4 linked regions of the Schizosaccharomyces pombe genome follow. Changing the gene in region 1 together with any one later gene gives a genetic interaction. Each region holds a gene or a part of one and is shown in the gene's direction. Other genes may lie near its edges.

What was found.
Region 2: mutations in omh6 (region 1) and spf30 together harm fitness less than expected from each alone (positive genetic interaction), as found in Schizosaccharomyces pombe (one large-scale study listed by BioGRID).
Region 3: mutations in omh6 (region 1) and nup37 together harm fitness less than expected from each alone (positive genetic interaction), as found in Schizosaccharomyces pombe (one large-scale study listed by BioGRID).
Region 4: mutations in omh6 (region 1) and cwf5 together harm fitness less than expected from each alone (positive genetic interaction), as found in Schizosaccharomyces pombe (one large-scale study listed by BioGRID).

What each region holds. Positions count from the first base shown.
Region 1 is NC_003424.3:3,390,759-3,396,933, reverse strand, and holds omh6 (alpha-1,2-mannosyltransferase Omh6), read left to right. Parts: upstream 1-2,689; 5' UTR 2,690-2,984; coding exon 2,985-3,451; exon of another isoform or gene 3,452-3,522; coding exon 3,523-3,809; intron 3,810-3,827; exon of another isoform or gene 3,828-3,905; coding exon 3,906-4,048; 3' UTR 4,049-4,243; coding exon of another isoform or gene 4,244-5,025; 3' UTR 5,026-5,184; downstream 5,185-6,175. Other genes in the region: pdi4 (protein disulfide isomerase), read left to right, coding at 1-1,249; tRNA-splicing endonuclease subunit Sen15, read right to left, coding at 4,244-4,675; SPOM_SPAC959.11 (uncharacterized protein), read left to right, coding at 4,660-5,025; U3 snoRNP-associated protein Utp7, read left to right, coding at 5,544-6,175. UniProt on the Schizosaccharomyces pombe protein: Probable mannosyltransferase involved in O-glycosylation of cell wall and secreted proteins.
Region 2 is NC_003421.2:1,381,178-1,386,243, reverse strand, and holds spf30 (splicing factor Spf30), read left to right. Parts: upstream 1-2,699; 5' UTR 2,700-2,818; coding exon 2,819-3,754; 3' UTR 3,755-4,189; downstream 4,190-5,066. Other genes in the region: chaperone EMC4, read left to right, coding at 1,631-2,212; cell wall alpha-1,3-glucan synthase Ags1, read right to left, coding at 4,840-5,066. UniProt on the Schizosaccharomyces pombe protein: Involved in spliceosome assembly.
Region 3 is NC_003424.3:4,867,857-4,872,866, forward strand, and holds nup37 (nucleoporin), read left to right. Parts: upstream 1-2,487; 5' UTR 2,488-2,643; coding exon 2,644-2,669; exon of another isoform or gene 2,670-2,720; coding exon 2,721-2,797; exon of another isoform or gene 2,798-2,870; intron 2,871-2,966; coding exon 2,967-4,039; 3' UTR 4,040-4,170; downstream 4,171-5,010. Other genes in the region: SPOM_SPAC4F10.16C (P-type ATPase), read right to left, coding at 1-254; SPOM_SPAC4F10.17 (uncharacterized protein), read left to right, coding at 732-1,103; hit1 (HIT zinc finger domain-containing protein), read right to left, coding at 4,320-4,716, 4,830-4,897.
Region 4 is NC_003421.2:1,184,672-1,189,509, reverse strand, and holds cwf5 (Prp19 complex subunit, RNA-binding Cwf5), read left to right. Parts: upstream 1-1,887; 5' UTR 1,888-1,941; coding exon 1,942-2,217; intron 2,218-2,268; coding exon 2,269-2,625; intron 2,626-2,685; coding exon 2,686-3,117; downstream 3,118-4,838. Other genes in the region: Ski complex RNA helicase Ski2, read left to right, coding at 1-1,775; coa4 (respiratory chain complex assembly protein), read left to right, coding at 3,343-3,492, 3,539-3,622; THO complex subunit Tho1, read right to left, coding at 4,342-4,838.

The sequences.
Region 1 (6,175 bases):
TGTTTGGTCAAGCATTACTCGTAATACCGACGAGCGATTAAAAATGGCGCAAGTTAATTGCGACGAAGAAAAGGAGATGTGTAATCATTTCCATATTAAAAAGTTTCCTACCTTCAGGGTGTTTCAGGGGTTCGATTCCATACAATATAATGGACCTCTCAAGTATCAACAGCTGCTATCCTATTCAAACCAAGTGGCAAGTTACCAAGCAATAAAGATCGAAGAAGGGGACATTGAATCAATCGAAAACTCTCACCCAGTTTTCTTTCTGGTGCTTTACGATTTTGCAACTACTTCAGAAGATTTCAGTATCATTGAACGTCTGAAATTACAGCTTGCTGGTGTTGCTCCATTATACATTTGTAATTCGAAGGCGCTCGCGAATAAATATGGGGCACAGTCTCAGCCTAGCATTATTGCTGTTCGCAATGGAATGCCAATAGTTTATCAGGCAATTACACCCCGTGAGTTTCGAGATTATAAACGAATTACTGAGTGGATTAACATAGTTTCCTCCCCTTTTATTACAGAGCTAACCCCGACAAAATGCCACAGTCTGCTGAATCGAAAGCTTACTGTTTTGACCTTACTTCAGCCAGATTCTGAACAGTTTTTTTCAAGTCAAGAAGAATTGTTGCGGCTTGGAAAGAGATGGTTTCGATTTCAAATGCAACGACAAAGAAATGATATAGTTTGGAGTAGAATTAAGAAATATAGTGCGATAGCTGAAGCTAAAAAGAAAGGGTTCGCGAGGAAAGTGAAGCGAATTAAGTACTCGAAGATATCACATCCTACTTATACTGAGTCAGTTTCATTTTTATGGTTAGATTCTTCTTTATGGTTGGATTGGATTGTGGAAAATTTGGACCATACTGTTTATGTAGATTCTATCACACCACCAGTGTTTGTGATAGATCACTCGAAAGGCGTAATCTATGTGAGTGACAGAAACGGCAACTCACTTACGTTAGAAGAAGATTCTCTATTTTCCACATTAAGGATTATATTAGAGCACCCTAACTCATCTCGTCTTCAAAAACTGCGTGCACCGGGCCTATGTCCAAACGGTAGCCCCAATTACAGGAATAGATACAAACTTATAGTTTTTAATTTGCTCATTGCTTTACTAATATTGAGCATCCTGACAATTATTTCAGCTAGCAGGCTTTCCCGTCGGCGTCGACAACTGCTGAACAAGCAACCAGTTTTTGGTTTTTATCATTCGCTTGTAATTGCCAAATCAGACTGAAATGTTGACAATTCAACGACCTAGTAAACGATGAAAAGGAGCGAAAGGTTTTTTTTATATACTCTCTTAGGGTAGCATTTCTAAATCATTTATTGCTAATACACTTGTGATGTTGCTACAAACAGCCCACAAAACTGATTGTTAAAAACTTTGTAGTCCATTTAATTTGACAAGGACTTATACACGAAAACAAAGTACCTCAAAATATGACGAGAATATTATCATTAAAAATTCAGTTTAAGTATACAAAATACCATACTGGCAACCTACCTCAAACGGTCAAGCTGTACAAACGAAAACTACATCGACAGGTCAGCCTGTTTCTCATCAAAACATCACAACGCCCATTTTTATTTGTTCATTAACAGCGAATTGGAAGTTTAAAAAATTCAGTTTTAAATGACAAAGTAAAATTGTAATAAAATAATTAATCGTATTCATACACATGATTAAACTATCATAAAAGAAGAACTACCCAAATGAAAAATGTCAACTGTATGGTTTTACCCAACTGCAAGGATCCAGAGATCATGTAGCGAAAGATTTAGGAATATACAGTTGTCAGAGGATCAACCAATTCCTCTCCAAAGGAGAAGGATCAGGATCACTCCAATCGTTTTAGAATCTGTTGGCTAGGCTACGCAGCATCCTTTAGTCAATTTTCATGGCAAGACGCCAACTCTCAACCTGCAGTCGAAACTGCAAGGACAATCGCCGCCCTGTCTGTACTCTTGTCAACCTCTACACGCCAACCATGTTACACGCAAGATTCTCGAAAGAATCTGAACAATGTAACTTCAGATTCATGATAGGTTATAACGAAGTGCAAACGAGACTTTATATAGTTTGTTGAAAATTACAACCCTAACCCTAGTGACTGTTTTACCCTTAGTAGTCTAGGAATTTTGGTGTTTCCAGAAAGCAAAAAAAAAGGCTCGTTAAAATAAGATTGTGCATTATGAACAACCACAGTATATAATTTGATCGAAAGTAGTGAATTAGTTTGCAGATATTGGGAAAATGTCTTAAGATACATATGCCACTTGGGTTTATGAAATATTATTTTATAACATTTTACTGAGTTTGTATTCTAGAACAGCTGAAGCTTTCCTATACTTAAACTTATTGCTTTTGTTTACATTCATCAGCAACAATGAATTGTTTAATAGACATTAAAAACCATTATAAAAGACGAATGCAAATTTTATAATTCCTTTGATAGAACTTAAATATTCCAACAGTAATAACAGCTCGACATAGCGACTATCAGTACGCTTATGCAAATGTCATTTATAAGATTATGCTCGTTAGCAGATTCTTTCAGTGATCTACCCATCAAACATTGTATACAAAAATTGATTTGCTAAAAATAAATATTTATACTCAAAGAGCTCTCTTTTCTAAGGTCAAATCTCTAGCAGGGTATTAACATTTGCCCTTAACCATTGTCTTAGGCAATTTCAGTTAAATTCCTTCAAATCCACTTTCTATGCGTTACTTTTGGAGTCATACGTTAGTTGAACTAGTTACTTCTCATAACAGGGAAAGTTCTGCTCGTGTTTAAGCTTCATTATGTTTTACGAACTTTTACTTTCCATACTACCAATTGTATTTACCTGGTTGAATGGATTCTCTGTAAATGAACCCAACAATGTATATGTGATTCTTAATGAACCTCAAAGCTCCAATTTGAGTGCTTCTTTTCTGATGTTTACCGCGTACGGTGCCATTTGAGATGTACTTTCTAATTCTGTTTTCTAGTAATGCTGAACTTGGGGAAGTGTTGCGCACGATGCGTAGCGTAGAGGATAGATTTAATAAGAGGTTTCATTATCCTTGGACGTTTTACGGCATGGATGAGTTTACGGAATACTTTATGAGTACGACAAGCACGATTGCGTCTGGTCATTGTGAATACGGTACGAAGGGAATAACTTATACCAATCATTTACAATTTATTCTAACTATCTCTTACTTAGTGCATTGGGATCTTTCTCAAGTAAAACCCCTAGTTGAAAACAATCGACTTTATCAACAACGAGCAGATGCACTTGCTCAAGAGAATCTATCTTACGTATACTCTCCTTTGTTTCACAGTTTTCAAGATTGGGTAGTTCGATCTTTATTATATCATCCTCAATTGGAATACGATTATGTTTGGAGAATAGAACCCGGGCTCAAATTGGTTTGTGAAGAAAAAAAGTAAGAAACTCGGTAAAACTTGTTTATTTCGTTCTTCTTTTTCAGGAAACCTAACTAATATTTTTGTTCAGAGATATATTTTCTACTTTCAAAGACAGCGACATTGTATTTACAAACCACGTCTGTGAACGTAAACACTCTGGTATATATGCTATGGAAGAGGCAATTGAAGAATACAAAATTTTAAACACTCAAGGAGATTTCAGCAATATCTGGGTTTATAGTAACAACTACACCTATTGTAAATACTGGCCTTTTAATGAAATTTTATCTCTAAAGCAAATTCGGCATAATCAGACCTACACCAACCTAATTAATTACTTGCTTGGTTCAGGAGGAACATATTATCATCGCTGGAGTAAGTAAATTGCTTCTTCAATTTTGGAAATGACTTTATTTAACCTGTTTCTAATATAAATGCTTCACGTTGTACTTTTTGCTGACATTTATTTAGCCGAGTCTGATATCCTTTCAGCAGCATTTGGTGTTTTAAGAGCGCGTGCTAATCATATGGAATCAGTGGGATTTTTCTTAAACGATGATGTTCATTATTGCCCAGAAACTATTCCATACACAGGAAGATGTGCATGTTTGTGATATTAATTGATGAATGAGCTTTACAGAAAATTTTTGTTCATACGAATTTGTTTTATGAAAGTTATTGTAATATGTGCATTTTCATTTACAAACGTTGAGACACTTGAAGTGAAAAATTAATCTGGTAGTGGTAAAATTATAGCGTTGTCTTTCCGTTTTTCAATCCTAATCAATAAATATGTATATATCATGTGTTTATTCTTCATCATTTTGCCTTGGTTTTATAAGTCCATCGGTGATCTTGTAATATACTATCGTTGAGTCAGAACACATGATTCCCAGGTATAGGAAAAACTCATCTCCAGAAAGACCTCGAGCATCCTTTACAAGTGGAAGGCTCAGTTTCTTCATAGAATCGAAAACAGAGGACAGAAACTCGATCGAAATTGTCTCTTGGAGGTAAAGCGGCAGAACATATTGCAATTTGTCTTTGAGCTGTCCATTTACGGGAATCCCTGAGAGTAAAGGCCTTTTTGTTTTTAAGTCAATATCAAGAACATGTACCTTTAATTCACACCAACGTTGACCGAGCCTTAAGTCGGTTTCCACTGCTCTCAGTATTCCATAGTATGGATTTTGCTTTTGCTCTTCTACAGCATCGTTAGGGAGAAATGTATTATGTTGCATGTGTATTTGTTTATAATAAATATATCTTTACTTTTGAGAAGGAAAATTTTGTTGAAAAAATGAATTATCGCCTCCGTGATAAAACTTTTAACTTCAACCAAATGGCACAGAAAAGGAACAAGCAGTCAAAAAAGCCTAAACAGACTTCAAAAGGAGTTAAGAAATCCTCAAAACAAAACAAAAACTCCTCTAAAAACAACAAATACCAACAAAACGTCCTTTTACAGAGTATTGATGATTACAACACTACGCAGAGCGTACTAAGAAGTGCTCATAATAGCGGTTCGAAGATGAGCGATATATCCAATTCGATCCAGCTTCTTTCCATGACCAAAAAGCAGGAGAATTAATTCCTGAGCTATTTTCGTTTCATGGTTCATTTCGCAGTTTTGGCATTGGCCATTGTCTGAACTTATAATGTTTTTACTGGGTTTCGGGTTTACTTTTAAAATTTTCTTGTTTTTATTTTGCATACTTAATTTTTATGAAATTTTATTTTATTATACTTGTATTATTTGTAAATAATTGTGGTTTGTATCTAATTGTGTTAGTAGTAGTTTCTGATTTTTTACAATAAGAACGCACAAATCCTATTCCTAGAACTACATTCCACCTGCCCTCAACCTAAACCTACTGTTGGGTCATAGAATCGAAGTCGAACGTAGTGTTTGAATTTTTTAACTATCACTTCGTTTACATAATACATTTGTGTAAAAATTGAAGGGTTTCTAACTTTTTGACTAAGGGAGATACCTAAATTTTGGAAAGAATTGTTTATTAGAAAACTGCTTCATTTTTTTTGTATAATCAGGCCTAAAAAGAAAAAAAAATCTTTTTTCCTCACTAATATCTTTACTTAGTTAGCATTATGTCTGCTCAAAAGTTGAATTTGGAGGATGTTAATGCTTCTACAAAAAAATATTCTAGAGGGCGCAAGCTGAATCCAAAGAAAATCAAGGATAAAAAGCTTCGAAGCAATATTCAGAAAATCGAGGAGAGAATTGAGAATGTTGAGTCTTCCTTGGCGAAAACCGAAATCTTACATGAAGATAATCCCGGTCTTTTGGAAGCCGAGGGCCTTGAAAGGACATACAAGTTTCGTCAAGATCAACTGGCTCCTAATGTTGCACTTGAGACGGCTACAAAGTCTTTCTCCTTGGATTTGGATAAGTTTGGTGGTTACTCATTTGATTATACAAGAGATGGAAGAATGATTTTATTAGGTGGAAGAAAAGGTCATATTTCCGCGTTTGACTGGCGTACTGGTAAATTACTCACAGAGCTACATTTAAGAGAGACCGTTCGAGATGTTAAATGGTTTCATAACCATCAATATTTTGCTGTTGCACAAAAGAAGTATGTTTACGTTTACGATAATATGGGAACAGAAATTCACTGTTTGAAGCGGCATATCGAAGTGAATGCTCTAGATTTTTTGCCATATCACTTACTATTGACCAGTATTGGCAATGCTGGCTATTTGAAATACCAAGATGTCTC
Region 2 (5,066 bases), on another chromosome or scaffold:
TTCGTATGAATTAGGCCAGAATGAAGTTAGTTACAAAAGCGCGAATTGCTTTTATTTGAGGGGTCTTAGAAAACTGTGAACGGTATAAAAGAGCAGTAATGAAACAATGGAAACTAGAGTCGTATTTAATGTTGTTCAATTTCCAAAGGCTGCCTTTGAATTAGTCGTAGCAGCAATTCTAGCAAACAAGCTATTTGAAAATAAACAAAGTGTCTTTTATATTTCGTTGAATATATTTATGTGAGATTCGAGTGCAAGGAGAATCATTCCGTTTTAAAGAATGGAGGACTTGAAATGGTTTATAAATTGTAAAGAATTTCGTTGAAGGTTCACGTTGTTTTCGACTTTGCTCTATCATAGCAGAACGGCAAGTTTTTCCTCTTGATATTATATATTTTTAAAAATTAGACGCTCGGTCTTACAAGTTATTTCAGGCAATATTAATATACAAGGACAATTATCACTTCTTATGCGCAGTCATATATCATAAACAAGAAGTCTTTTGAACGGAAACTCGAAACAGGAGAAAAGCAAGCATTATCAGTATCGGTAAGGTAATCAATAACAATACATTACACGATTAAAAAGCGATTATTTCAAAATAAATTTCCAGTAATGTTCATTTTTTTTCTTTATGCTTCGAAAATGCACTTACTTTTTAGGCAGAGTATATTGAGTCGTACAACTCAATTTTGGGCTTGCGGCAATATGTTAAAACTCATATTCTAGAATAAGAAAAAAATTCTCACAAAGAGTGCCCTCCAAAACACGTCTTCCTAAATATTTACACCATGAGTACTTTCATACTGTATCCGATCTTTGTTTATGTAATAGCTTGGCTAACGAGATTATGCTTAAAAAGTTACAAAACGATATGTTCTTTATCCATTGAATATTTGAAAACATCTCAGTGTAAAAATATCAATCATTGAGCATGGTATTACCATTGTAAGATAAAGAGTCAGAACTTTTTCAAGATCAAGATCCTATATCCATAAAAGAAACCAAAACTAATTCCAGCTGTAATCAATAATGATCGTTGGGTTTGATAATTAACAAGAAATCATTAACATTAGATGTTTAAGCGTTGTACATATTCATATCCGGGCCATGAGACAGTAGAAAACCAAAGAAAGCACAAAAGCAAGTTAATCTTGAACTTTTATAACAGGATGGCTTTCTTTTTGCCATTGTTTGCGCTTGTATTTTTGGGATTCATTAGCTGATGGGCTTTTCACTATTACCACCAGTTTCGTTCCTTAGCATCTGCCACCTCCACTATATTGTTTATTTTGAAATATTATATTTTGAGGCGTGTTCTCAAATTATTTAGACCAGAAAATTTTTAACTTCAACCAAAGTTATTAATTTGCTTGAAAAGATTGTTCTACCACCCAACTTACATCAAATAACGAAAAACTGAGATTGACTTCTGGTGAAATATCTTGTTTCAGAAACATCAAATAAGGCTGGTCTTCGTATTTTAGAAACATAATTGAGGTGCTACCAATACTTTTTGACTGTAGGTTAGCTGCAATCAGGCTTTTCATTCATTGACTAAATTTATTCCTTGGTTTACGAGTCCAAAAATTTAGTCGCAACTTTAAATTTCTCTTTTTTCCCTTTCAAGATGCACATTAACGAAGAAACAGATTGGATCGATTTGGTCAAACCAGCGTTAGCAAAGAAGCCCAAAAAGATCGTTGACAATTCTGACAAGTTCCCTACGCCTCGAGGATTTCAACAGAAGTCGTTGGTTTCCAAAAACATTCATTCAGGAAATTCAGCTTCCTCAACTTCCATATTTGCTAAACGAGAGGAAGAATTACAAAAGGATCTCTTACTAAAGAAAGCATGGGAGCTTGCATATTCCCCCCTTAAACAAATTCCTATGAACGCTATTTTAGCATACATGTCTGGTAATTCACTACAAATTTTCAGTATTATGACGACTCTTATGTTGCTTGTAAATCCACTGAAAGCAATAACATCTACAGGATCTGCCTTCACCCCATTTAAAGGCACCCACCCAGGAACCCTTTGGCCCGCTATGGGTGCTTATATTTTATTCCAATTATTGCTTATGGGGATTGGAGTCTATAAGCTGCAAAGAATGGGATTATTGCCAACGACTACCAGCGATTGGCTTGCCTGGGAAGTCTCGAAGGTCTTTATGGATCGATCTTATGGTCCTAGTAAAACTGTTTTGTAAGAATTTCATTTACTCCAAAATTTTAAAGATATACGAGTGAAATCGTTAAATTATAGTACCTCCTAATGCCATTGCTTCTAGCTGACCTAGAAAATAATAAATTCATATAAAGAAGGAATGCTTGGAGTTCGGAAACATATTGTCTTCTGGATTAATAATTTATCCTCCATTATGCGGCATTAAACGTTCAATGCCTTTAATCGATATCATGCACGCCATAAACGAACCTCGAAAATACTTGATTATCCAGTTCTTTTTACCCATCCATAGTTTTCGAGAGCATGAAATTTTTGATAGAATACTTTCTTTTACGTCTTGATTATACTGAATATAGAAATATCAAATATTCTTCTTTGTTTTAACTATTATCAATAATGTCTTAGTATATTGAGTTAAAGAATTAGTGCTTTTAGTATAAATTTAATCTCACTCCAATATTGTTTTCTTCACCCTAGTGTAATAGCTGAGCTTAATTTTCAGGCACTTCACTGAGCGCCTGCTTCACATATTATCTACACTTACAACCGGTTTTGGCGATAAAGCCATTACACTTGGAAATTTTTACTGTTTGAAAAAAAAATCTATTAAATCTATAAAAGTAATCGTATGGAGAAGGAATTAGAGGAATACAAGAGCCAGCTTGCTCTCGTTCAAATTTCTCTTCAGAAGACTCCCCAAAACGAGGAATTACAGTTACTGGAAAATGATTTAAAGGAATTAATTAGCCTTACTGAAAACTTACTACAAGAAAGTGTAGAAAATGATAAAAATACGTTTCAAAATTCCCAAAATGGTGTTGCAGGTTTCAATACTTCAAAGCCAGTACATATCGACTTTACGCCTGGAAATTTAGTAATGGCCCGATGGGTTTCAGGAGATTATTTATTTTATCCTTCACGTATTACTGCTGTTTCAGGCTTCGGTGCAAACAAAAAGTACACAGTACAATTTCTTGACTATCCTGACATTGAAACTGTTTCCCTCAAACATATTAAGGCCATGCCTGAGGAAAAACGTCAGGAAATAGAAGGAAATAAAGAAATTCTCAAAAAATCTACCACTATACGTAGTACACCTGTTAGAGAGCCTACAAAAGCAATATCTGTAGCATCTATGTCTACAAGTCCTTCCAATTATGCGTCTCGTGCCTCTTCTCCAGATATGAAGAGTTCGGCGGCTGTAACGGCTAACGTATCTCCGATCCAAAATGTCGCTCAGCATGTTTCAACCCTACCAAAGATCTCTCCCATTCCTCCCTCTAACCCTCCACCTGTTCCTAGTGTTTCATACTCCCAAAAGCAGCAAAAACAACTAAAACCTAAAGCAGCACTTGAAGCATCACAAAATTCTTGGAAACAGTTTGCTGCTCGAGGTGTAAAAACTGGACGCGTTGGCAAACGAAAGAAGATTGGAGAATCTAGTATATTTAAAAGCACTGAAGATTTTCCTGGAAGGACAAACCCTAAAAATTTTGGAAATGTTGCGAGGTCTGGGCATCGCGAAAAGCACATCTATAATTATAGAGAAGACGAAGATAGCTGAGCAATGTGTCTTCATTTGAAACTTGGTATTTAATTAATAGGCTTTTAACAGCCGCTGTTTATGTTTTCATTTATATATTTTTTGGTGCAATAAGCATAAATAAGCTTTTTACAGATCTTTAACCTAATTTCTGATGAAGCTGTCCTGGTTTTCCATATTTAACAAATTGTTCGTCGCATTGTCTACAGCTATAAAACAATTCTTTTGTTGTTGTTGGTGTATACATTAGAGAGGAATGAGTAATTAGAAAAGAATTATTACCTTTCGCATCTTAAGAATTTAACAGCCATAGACTACTTTTTTATATTCACATCTGCATACGGTTTTATGAATAGCATCATTACTATTTTCTGATGCGAAATAGTCATTTCGTTCTTAAACAATAGATCCATTTCCCGTGACATTTGCTAATTGTATTCCACCAAAATTTGACTTCTTAGTTTACAATAGTTGGTGAAAGTAAATCGGTGGTGGTACTATCTTGTCTCGCCATGCTCTTTTAAATAACGGCAACTTATGTTTTTAATAGCATTGTTACATGATAAACTGAAATATTCTATTTGTCATTCGTATTCTATAAGAGGTATATAAAGCCGTATATGTTGAGGGATCATCCACAGACAGCAATGAAAACTAGCTCCTCTAATATACTAGTATTACAAAAAATCTAATTGTATGAAAGAAATCGGTAAGCATACAAAGGGCGGATAGATTTAATTTTGTTTTAATGGAAACATGTAACACTTATCATAAAATGTAGATACTATGCTAATTGAAATTTATAATGCAATTTATGTATGACCAAGTGATATTCCCTTAAATAAAGCTTAGATATAACACATTCTCGTCAGCAAAGCCAAATGCCAACGGAAACTAGATAAGAATAGTAACAAGGATATGAGGAAGTTAAATAAGGTGGATATAGAATATAATGAAACATAACTTGAAGTATTCATTTAAAAGACCTGATGCTCAACAAGACCGAGCTTGGAGGATATTTTGTTTAAAACATCACAGTAACTGTACATGCTCCGATTTCGTGAACTTCAATTAAAATTTCGCTTTGTAAGACTAAGACTAGAAAACTAAGGACGACTAAGGTTTTCACGACGGAAGAAGGCCAAATAACCTACGCAAATAGCAAGTTGACAAATAATATTAATCCAAAAAGGTGCGCTTGCTAAGATTGAAGAGCCATCACCATGATTCCATTTAGTAAAGTCAATAAATACATTAGCAGGTCCCTCACGGTTGGGTGATGCACCACGTCCGATCATTGTAGCAACGGCACCAACTATCTGTCCAGTCATAA
Region 3 (5,010 bases), 1.5 Mb from region 1:
TCTGAGTTGTTACACGAACCTTCAAAAGAGTTAGCTTCCTCATCATCCCTCGAACGTTGTTCCGCATGTGCTTCTTGTGAAAACTGGCTTTCGTGATGACGAGAAGAATAATCAGTTTGGTTTGTAGGTCCCTCATGAGCTAATGAGCCATTGTGCTGAGGTACATGGTGTAGATGATTAAAAGCACATATGGATAAGCCATGCAAAGAGGATTTCAATGAACTAATAGCATCAAAATTGATTAGGCTAGGCATCAAAGGGATCTACAATTCCTCAAATTCTTCCCAATCAGTTGCAGAATTACGAACGACTGCAACGTTCGACGATACCAATGACACAACTGGGAAATAAACAGAATTGATATCGCTTACGTACAGAATTAGTTCAATTAAGCTCAAAATTCGGCGTAGAGAAAGTCCTTTGAGGAGGCAAAATGGGTATGGCAAGATGATGTGTATTGATGTAATCCTTAAGTGCTGGGGTGTACTATATATACAGTGCAAAGGGTATGGGTAAAGTAAATAAACGATTTCTCAATAACAACAAATAAAGCATATTTATTGTTGTTTAATTTTTTTCGTCTTGAAAAAGAAAACAGAATTGGAAAATTGCTAAGGCACCATAAACAGATAAAGTATAACGTTTTAGTTCATACCCACTAGCGTTGGTAACTAAAACTTACACAAATTTTATATTTTTTGCTTTATTTTTTTTATCTTCATATTGTTAACATGGCGTTTCGTGCTGCAAGAATTGCTTTCGCTTGGAAGGCAACCAATCCTGCTAATACAACAATTCGTCAATATATAAAAGAAACACTGGAAGAAGCACCTGAGAAAATCAGTCAAACTGTCAAAAAAGCAACTGGTAAGGCTTCGAAAAAGATAGATGAAAACAAAGATAAGTCACCACAGGAAATGGCTGAGAATGCAAAGCAATCGGTAAAGCAAACTGCCAAGGATGCAAAAGATACCGACTATCAGCAAAAGGCGAAAGATGCTGGTAAGAAAATAAAAGAGGAATTTAGCCAACGGTCGGAAAACGTACTCGAAGAAACTCGTCGTGAGGGGATGAATCGTGATGGTGGTGTTAAAAAGGAATAAAGAGGATTCCTTGTAAATGAATCGAGTTAATGTATTGAGTGGAAGCTTGTATACAAGCTCCTTGATGCTCTTTATGATTTTAAAGATGCTTCACGTTTGAAAACATCGCTTTCTTTTTGGATTTATATGAACGAACAATGCATGATTTACAAAACGAAGCTAGAAGATTGTTAATAAACTAAAAATCATAGTTCAACGGTTCCTGGCTTTTATTTACAAAATAAATTCAATTTTTGATGATAGCAAAAAAAAAAAATTTCATGATTTAAATAAGAATGAGATTATCGCGAGATGTGTTAATTATATTCCGGTTGTATAGTCTGGTATTCGTGGCAGTGATACTGCATATTTTGCATTGCCGATGCTAGCCTTAGTATGGACTTGACTGTATGTAAAAACTTTATGGCCCACATGCTGTCAACAGCTACTATGGTCAAATTTAAATTTTGTTATTCTATAGGCCGGATAGTTGTATAAAGGCATTGTAATGGATAATGGTAATAATACTCATTTTGGTCAAACACATTCATGCCATTCTACTCCAGTAAATTCAATGCCGCTCGTTGTAAGCATAGCGATAAATCCCAAAGGCTGTTCAAAGCAATAATTTCAAATTTGTATTGCAACTTGCCAACATTTTTAAAGTAAATAAATTCCGTTATTGTACAGTGACATTCTCATGTTATATACGCTCTACAGTCAATAACATAATATCATTCACCAACATGATAGTACTCGATTGTATTATATTTTACTAGTCTTGAAGCAAGAATAGCCATAGCCCTTGGGTTTTTGAAGTTGCCAAGATTTCGGCTCAGAATGAAATGCCCAAGCTAAGATTTCCGAAGGTTTTTTCAAATTTTCAATATTTACTGCATTTACTCCCTCCACAAAATCTGGTTTATACGAGAAGATGTGACTGCTAAAATGATCATTATGCTATAAAAAACCCCATTTGTCGTTTACAATGCTTTACATTCGTTTTTATCCACACTATTCACAAGCCTGTGTCACGGTTTATGTAATTGGCTTGGGGAACGTGTTGGAAAGAATAAAACCGCTGTATACTTCATACGGAACGCAATTATTACTTTTCGTTCTGCAATAAATCAGTGGAATATCGTGTTGGTTTTTTTACATATAGTTTTATTTTGATGTATTTAGTAAACACTCTATTTGTTAATTGAATATAAGTTAAATTATTAAAAGATATTTAGTATAAGTACAAATTTTAGTAATTGCATTAAAATGGTTATATTTATCGTGTTTCATTATCTAAACTGCTTTGTATAGGTTTTCGTTTGATTTTTTGTAAATTAATGGTGGTAGTTTTGGCTCCGTAAGGTAGAACGTTTTCTTCAGCTTCATCCAATTCACGTAACCCACTAGTTACCTGCAACACCATATCACTAGAAAACGTGGCCGAAACTTCTCTTTTTCCATTTGTATATATAAATGCATTTTTAATTTCTTTATCTTTTTATTGTCTGCACAATAAAGCGTTCATTCTTTCCGTTTTTTTTGAAAACTATTTTTCGTCATGACTCTTTCCTCTAACCAGTATCAGTACGTTCAGCGTTATTTCGTTTATGTCTCTTTCTAACTTCTGTTTATTAGATTGCCTCTTAATGTCCGCCCGTATACAACGACTTGGTGTTCCCAGTCTCCTTCCTGTTCAAATCTTCTTGCCATAGGTATGTAAGATATCTGAATGTTACGACGAATGGTAATTTACGTATTACTCATTTCTTCTTTTCTGTTTTCCTAAGTTACAATATTTGAGAAAACCTCAGTGCTAATGAAACAATTATCTTCAAATAGCATTCCTCTAAACGTTTTAAACTAATGATTAACCTTATACAGGCCATGATACGGGTATCACTATTTATTGTGCTTCAGAAGAACAGACGCCCGGATCTACAGGTTTGACATTACAAGAGTTGTTCACTATTCAAACTGGGTTACCCACTTTGCATCTTTCTTTTTCATCTAGCTGTAGTTATTCTGAGAATTTGCATGATGGCGATGGAAATGTGAATTCCTCACCTGTGTATTCTTTGTTTCTTGCATGTGTGTGTCAGGATAATACAGTTCGTCTAATAATTACAAAGAATGAAACCATTATTACTCAACATGTGTTGGGCGGAAAATCTGGGCATCATAATTTTGTGAATGATATCGATATTGCAGACGTCTATTCCGCTGATAATCGTCTCGCTGAGCAGGTGATAGCATCTGTGGGCGACGATTGTACGTTGATTATATGGAGACTGACTGATGAAGGGCCTATTTTAGCTGGATACCCATTGTCTTCCCCTGGTATTAGTGTCCAATTTCGCCCATCTAATCCTAATCAATTGATTGTTGGAGAAAGGAATGGTAATATTAGGATTTTTGACTGGACTTTGAATTTATCAGCTGAAGAAAATTCTCAAACCGAGTTGGTTAAAAATCCATGGCTTTTGACTTTGAATACCCTGCCACTCGTTAACACCTGTCATAGTAGCGGCATTGCTTCCTCTTTAGCTAACGTTCGATGGATCGGAAGTGATGGAAGCGGTATACTTGCAATGTGTAAAAGTGGGGCTTGGCTTCGTTGGAATCTTTTTGCTAATAACGATTACAATGAAATCTCGGATTCCACTATGAAATTGGGACCCAAAAATCTACTGCCCAACGTGCAAGGCATTTCATTGTTCCCATCCTTGCTTGGTGCTTGCCCACATCCCCGTTACATGGATTACTTTGCTACGGCACATTCTCAGCACGGCTTAATACAGCTCATTAATACATATGAAAAGGACTCGAATTCAATTCCTATTCAATTAGGTATGCCCATCGTTGACTTTTGCTGGCACCAAGATGGATCACATCTTGCTATAGCTACGGAAGGATCTGTTTTGCTTACCAGATTGATGGGGTTTACGAGATTATGAGGGTATAGAACAATATACTTAACATCGAACTAAAATAAACGGGTTCAGGAGAGGAAATTGTATTGAATAAATATTAATGTTCATAGTTAAACCAAAAAGTAGTATTTGCTATGTATTAACATCGTGTAAACGCTGTTACTTTTAAAAATTTTAAATGGATGTGTTGCTTTCGTAAACAATTCGCCTTGGTTCAAATATCGCCTTTGATATTTCAACTTCCAATAACCGATATGCGATTTGAATTGAATCTTCTAAATGTTCGTTACAATGATAAAACCCATTATTTTTGAGCATAATATTTTTCCAGAATCATGGATGCCAGTTTTTCGAAAGATGGATTGTGTAGCCGCTGTTGCTGAATAGCATCTAAGGTTTTCAGAGGAACAGAACCCTCTTCCTCACGGTCAAGGTTCACTAATTCTTTCATTATATGTAAAAGCTCGGCATTACTTTCAATTAAATTTTTTATGCTAGGATCTTCGACAATAGATTCCAAAAGACTTTCACTTGGCAATGCCTCTTCTGCTAAACTTGGGATTCTTCCATTAACGTAGATAACATTAGGAGAAGGTTCTGGGGGGTTTAAAGGTTCTTTAACTCCTTTGAATGTTGTTGTGTTATTGTCATTTACAGTCTCACATTGACTTTGGTGGATTTTCCAGCAAGGTAATGAACAACTATTAATTCTATATTAGTATTTTTAGGAAACAGAAAAAAAGAATAAAGCATTGGTTCATGGGTTAATGTGTATTGAAACAAAATGCATTGTTCTGAGCTTACAAGCACATACTAAGGAAATGAACACTTCGGGCATTTATATTTTATTTCTGATTCGTTGCATATTGAACAAGTTGTCATGATAGCGTTTAAATTTTTCTAATGTATTAGAGGAGAAACCTTTTTTTTTAGACAAGCTCAAACAAAATAAGATTAAAGGGAGAAGAGCAATAGAGTAACGTCAAACCTTGCTA
Region 4 (4,838 bases), on another chromosome or scaffold:
TGTTACCCATCATCAAGGAAATAGTAGAAATCCTTTTTCAAAGAGGGTTGGTGAAGGTTCTGTTTGCTACTGAGACCTTTGCAATGGGTGTAAATATGCCTGCAAAATCGGTGGTTTTTTCCGGTACACAAAAGCATGATGGACGGAACTTCCGTGATCTTCTTCCCGGAGAGTATACACAATGCTCTGGACGCGCTGGACGCCGTGGTCTTGATGTCACTGGTACAGTTATTATATTATCGCGTTCAGAACTTCCTGACACAGCTTCGTTGAGACACATGATTATGGGGCCTTCGTCTAAGCTTATAAGTCAATTTCGCTTAACATATAATATGATACTTAACCTCCTACGTGTAGAGACGCTTAGAATTGAAGACATGATTAAACGCAGCTTTAGTGAAAACGTTAACCAAACATTGGTGCCTCAGCACGAGGAAAAAATAAAAAGCTTTGAAGAAAAGTTGTCGGCTTTAAAGAAGGAAATGTCTGATGTTGATTTGAAAGAAATTAAAAGTTGTTTATTGAGCAGTGAATCTTTTAAAGAGTATACCAAAAAAATGCACTTCCGAGCAATAACTACTGCAAATGGCAAAAGAATATTTAAAGATGGAAGAGTCATTGTTTTTCAACAACTTGATTTTACTCGCACTGTTGGAGTTCTACTCGGAACATCCATTAGAACCAATGCTTCAGACTGTACACTGGAAGTTGCATATTTAAATCCACAGAACAACCTCAAACGACCATCGGATTTACTTGCTTTTGCTGACGCGTTCAATGATGTTTATGATAACGCTATCTTTGATGAATCAAACCAATTCAAGTATGGCCTTATCAATCTTTCCGGTATTGAAAGAGTCTGCAATACGATCCTTCGAATTGATTCTGGTGGAATTAGAGACCGTCGAGGGGGGGCTTTTCGAAAACTTAGTGAACAATTTGCATCAATTAAAAAGTTTTCCGACCTGCTTTTTGAAGAAGTTAATTGGAGTAAAGTCAGAGACTTTGAATTTTGTGAAGCTTTCGAAAAACGAAATTTTCTTCAGAACAAGTTATCCGGAAATCCAATTATCTCGACTCCAAACTTTCTTACTCATTTCGCCTTAGCTTACCAAGAGTATGAATTGGAAAGCAATATCGATAACTTATCTTCCTATATTTCCGATCAAAACCTAGAGTTACTGCCTGATTACGAACAACGGATAAAAGTATTGCAAGAACTAGGATATATTGACGCAGAGCGAACTGTTTTACTAAAGGGAAGAGTCGCATGTGAAATTAATTCCACCAGTGAATTGGTATTAACAGAGTTGATTTTGGAAAACAGTTTGGCGGACTTTTCTTGTGAAGAGACAATAGCATTGTTGTCTGCATTTGTTTTCGATGAGAAAACGGAGGTTGAACCCACAATTTCTCCTCATTTACAAAAAGGAAAGGAAATGATACTATCAGTGGCCGAGAAAGTTAATCAAATTCAAGAGCACTATCAGGTATTGTATTTTAATGAAGGTAATGATTTTGAATCACAACCACGATTTGGTTTAATGGAGGTTTGCTACGAGTGGGCTAGAGGGATGTCTTTCAACCGTATCACAGACTTAACAGACGTTTTAGAAGGATCGATTGTAAGAACAATTATAAGACTTGATGAAGTTCTACGTGAATGCAGAGGAGCAGCCCGTGTCGTCGGCGATTCTTCCATGTATACGAAGATGGAAGAGTGTCAAAATCTAATTCGCAGAAACATAGTCTTCTGCCCTTCACTGTATATGTGAATTTAATAGTTATATATATTTGTAGATTTAAATGATATTCATATGAAATTTTATGTGTTTTTCACGAATTTTATTTGTCTTAAAAGTCTTCGTATTCCACCTTGCAAAGTTTAACACCACCACATATTTACAAAGATTAGCATTGCAAGAGAATTGCGTTTCTAATATGTCTCATGGACCAAAAGGTGATATAAATAAACAAGAATGGGAGGATGTTGAATTTCCAAGCATCTGTGAACGTTGTTTGGGCGACAATTCATATGTTCGTATGACTAAGGAGCCACTTGGACAAGAATGTAAAATTTGCTCAAAACCTTGTACAATCTTTCGGTGGATAAAAGAACGCGGCCAAAAGCCTGGAAAAACTCAAATTTGTGTTGGTTGCGCCAGATATAAGAACTGCTGTCAGAGTTGCATGCTTGATTTGCAATTTGGTTTACCGGTAAGTTCAATATTTCATTCAACTATAATAGTCAGCTAACGTTCCATGAAGATTGCCCTGAGGGATGCAGCCCTAAAACTGGTCGAAAGCGGTCCCACTAACGATATTAATCGCGAATTCTTTGCTCAAAATCAACAACGCCTGTTAAGTAATGGCGAAACGGCCTACGATAGCCAGGAAGCAAGCGCCGCTGCAAGAAATCTTGTTAAAAAGGTAGAAAAACGAGAATTACATTCAAGACCTCCTAAGCGAAAATTAGATGATGTTGAGTCTAAGCAAATATTAAAGGAGGCTCGAGCATCTGATGCATCTTTAAATGCAGAACGCCCATTATTTCCGGTTAAAAAAATTATTAATGGGAATGTTTCCTTGTCTATTAATATGGAACCTCCTAAAGATAAAAAAATCGTAAGTGCGACTTAAAAGTAATTTAAGCTTGATGGCGCATTGTATTGTGCTAACATTTAGGCATCCCTTTTCCTTATTGGCGTCGAAGATGAACTAGCTGACTATAAAATTCGTAAACATTTTGAACAATATGGGCCTCTTAAATCAGTTGTGTGTTCTCATCGAGCAAAATGCGCATTCGTAAACTTTAAAACTCGTTCTAGTGCTGAGATTGCGGCGGCGGCATCTCCCGATGGAAATGTTGTTATAGAGGGGTTTCGACTGAAAGTTCAATGGGGAAAACCTCGTTCTCTTGGAGGACCTGAGGGTGAAGTACGAAACGCAAAGTTGGCAGACCTTGTGATGCGAGGTTCATCCCATGGAAATAAAACCTCCCAAAAATCTACGATTAAAAACATTGAAAATGAAGATCATGAAAATACTAAAAGCCCTGCAGTTGCTATACCCATTGACCCCAATCAACCCCGTTACCGATCTCAAATTCCGCGGTGAAGTCAGTTGGTCATTTAAAACCTTTGTAGTAGCTATTAACTTATTTTCTCTAATACTGACAAGCTTTATTCTGTATTTTCTTGTTTATTTGTCTTTGCACCTTTTCTGTCGTCTCTCGGTCATTCTCCTTAAATAATCAAATATCTGCTGCTTTACCTTACTCAGCAAAACACTTTGGGTTTTGCATATTTTTTACATTATAAAGCATCAATTTATTTTTTCTGAATGGATAGTATTGAAAAAACTCCTGACGGAGAAGAAGAGGAAAAAGATGTATGGGACACTGCTCTTGAAAAAGGTGGATGTGTAGAAGAGCACCTTCGACTGAATGATTGCTATTGGGATACTCATGATTGGAGGAAATGTACAGAACAGGTAATTATATGTCTTTAAAAAATTTAGCTAATTCTGATATTTTTAGATGGAAGAATTCAGGAAATGTTGGGAAAAGAGACATGGTCCTTTGCCAAGTATCTCAGACAAAAAAAATAAAAATTTATCTTAATGAGTTTCTATATCATGTGATTTTGTGAAAAAAATAATTATTCTGTTTACGGCAGTTTTAGTACGCTGTTATTAGGATGAATTCTTTTTATTGAAAAAGATATAATGCATGCGGAACTAATTAATTGGATTCTTCAAATACGAAGACAGTGTTTCAAATCATTAACTCATTTGATATAATTTTTTTGAATATTTTCTGCAATTGCAGAGTTTTCAGCTATTTATTTTACGAAGTCTCAGTTGTCATAGTGCATCAATTTTTCTGTGTTATGTGGTATGGTAAAGCAAGTTATGACTTAGTATTGAATTGATAGGATGGAGTTTAAATACGCAAAAACATATTTTACAATTCAACGTTGTTGTCAAATTGTATAAGTCTGTTTCAAATCTGATCCATCGATATTGGAAAAGTTCTGTACTTATAACCCGCTTTTATTGTTGCATTTGTTGAAAAATAAAAAATTTGACTTTAGAATGTTTTCATATTGAACATGTGAACGTATTCAACTGTCAAAAAATGTGTGCAGTTTAGTAAATAAGCGTAATTTACCCATCAATAAACAATGAAATTCATCTTTACAGTAGCTCTACTAAAAGGATGTAATTTTATTTTATATAAGCGCATACAAAAACACGCTAGATCAAAACATTAACTATATATACATTTTCTGACTCAATCATAACTAAGCACTTATCACATATGTGTAATTGATTTAATGATTATAATACAATTTCTCCATCCTCTCCAGTTTTTGGCCTTTTAGGGCTTGAATGAAGGTCAGAAGGTTCATCTTCCTCATCCCGTCCTCGCTTTTTAGTAATCTCTGACTGCTTTTGACTATTTTCAGAAGATTTTGGACTAGATGTTACTTCCAATATAGTTTCAGCAACATTATTCTCTTGCTTTTCAGATATTTTAGAATTTATGGTGGAAGTAATTTCTTCTGTGACCTCAAAGTGATCATCATTTTGTTTTAGTTTTTCAATATTTTCGGGAGATTTCACATGTGAAGATGGGTCCTTTGAAGCTTCAGATGTATTATCATCTTCTGATTTGAGAACCTTATTAACCTGAACCAAAGATTCACCGTTTACTTCACTGTCCACACCCTCAGTTGGGGGTTTAGGTGATACCTTTGGCAAGTCATTTTTATGTTTTCCTTCTTCAACCTCAACGCTTTCTTTTTCCTCTTCATTTTGGACAATATCACCTTCAG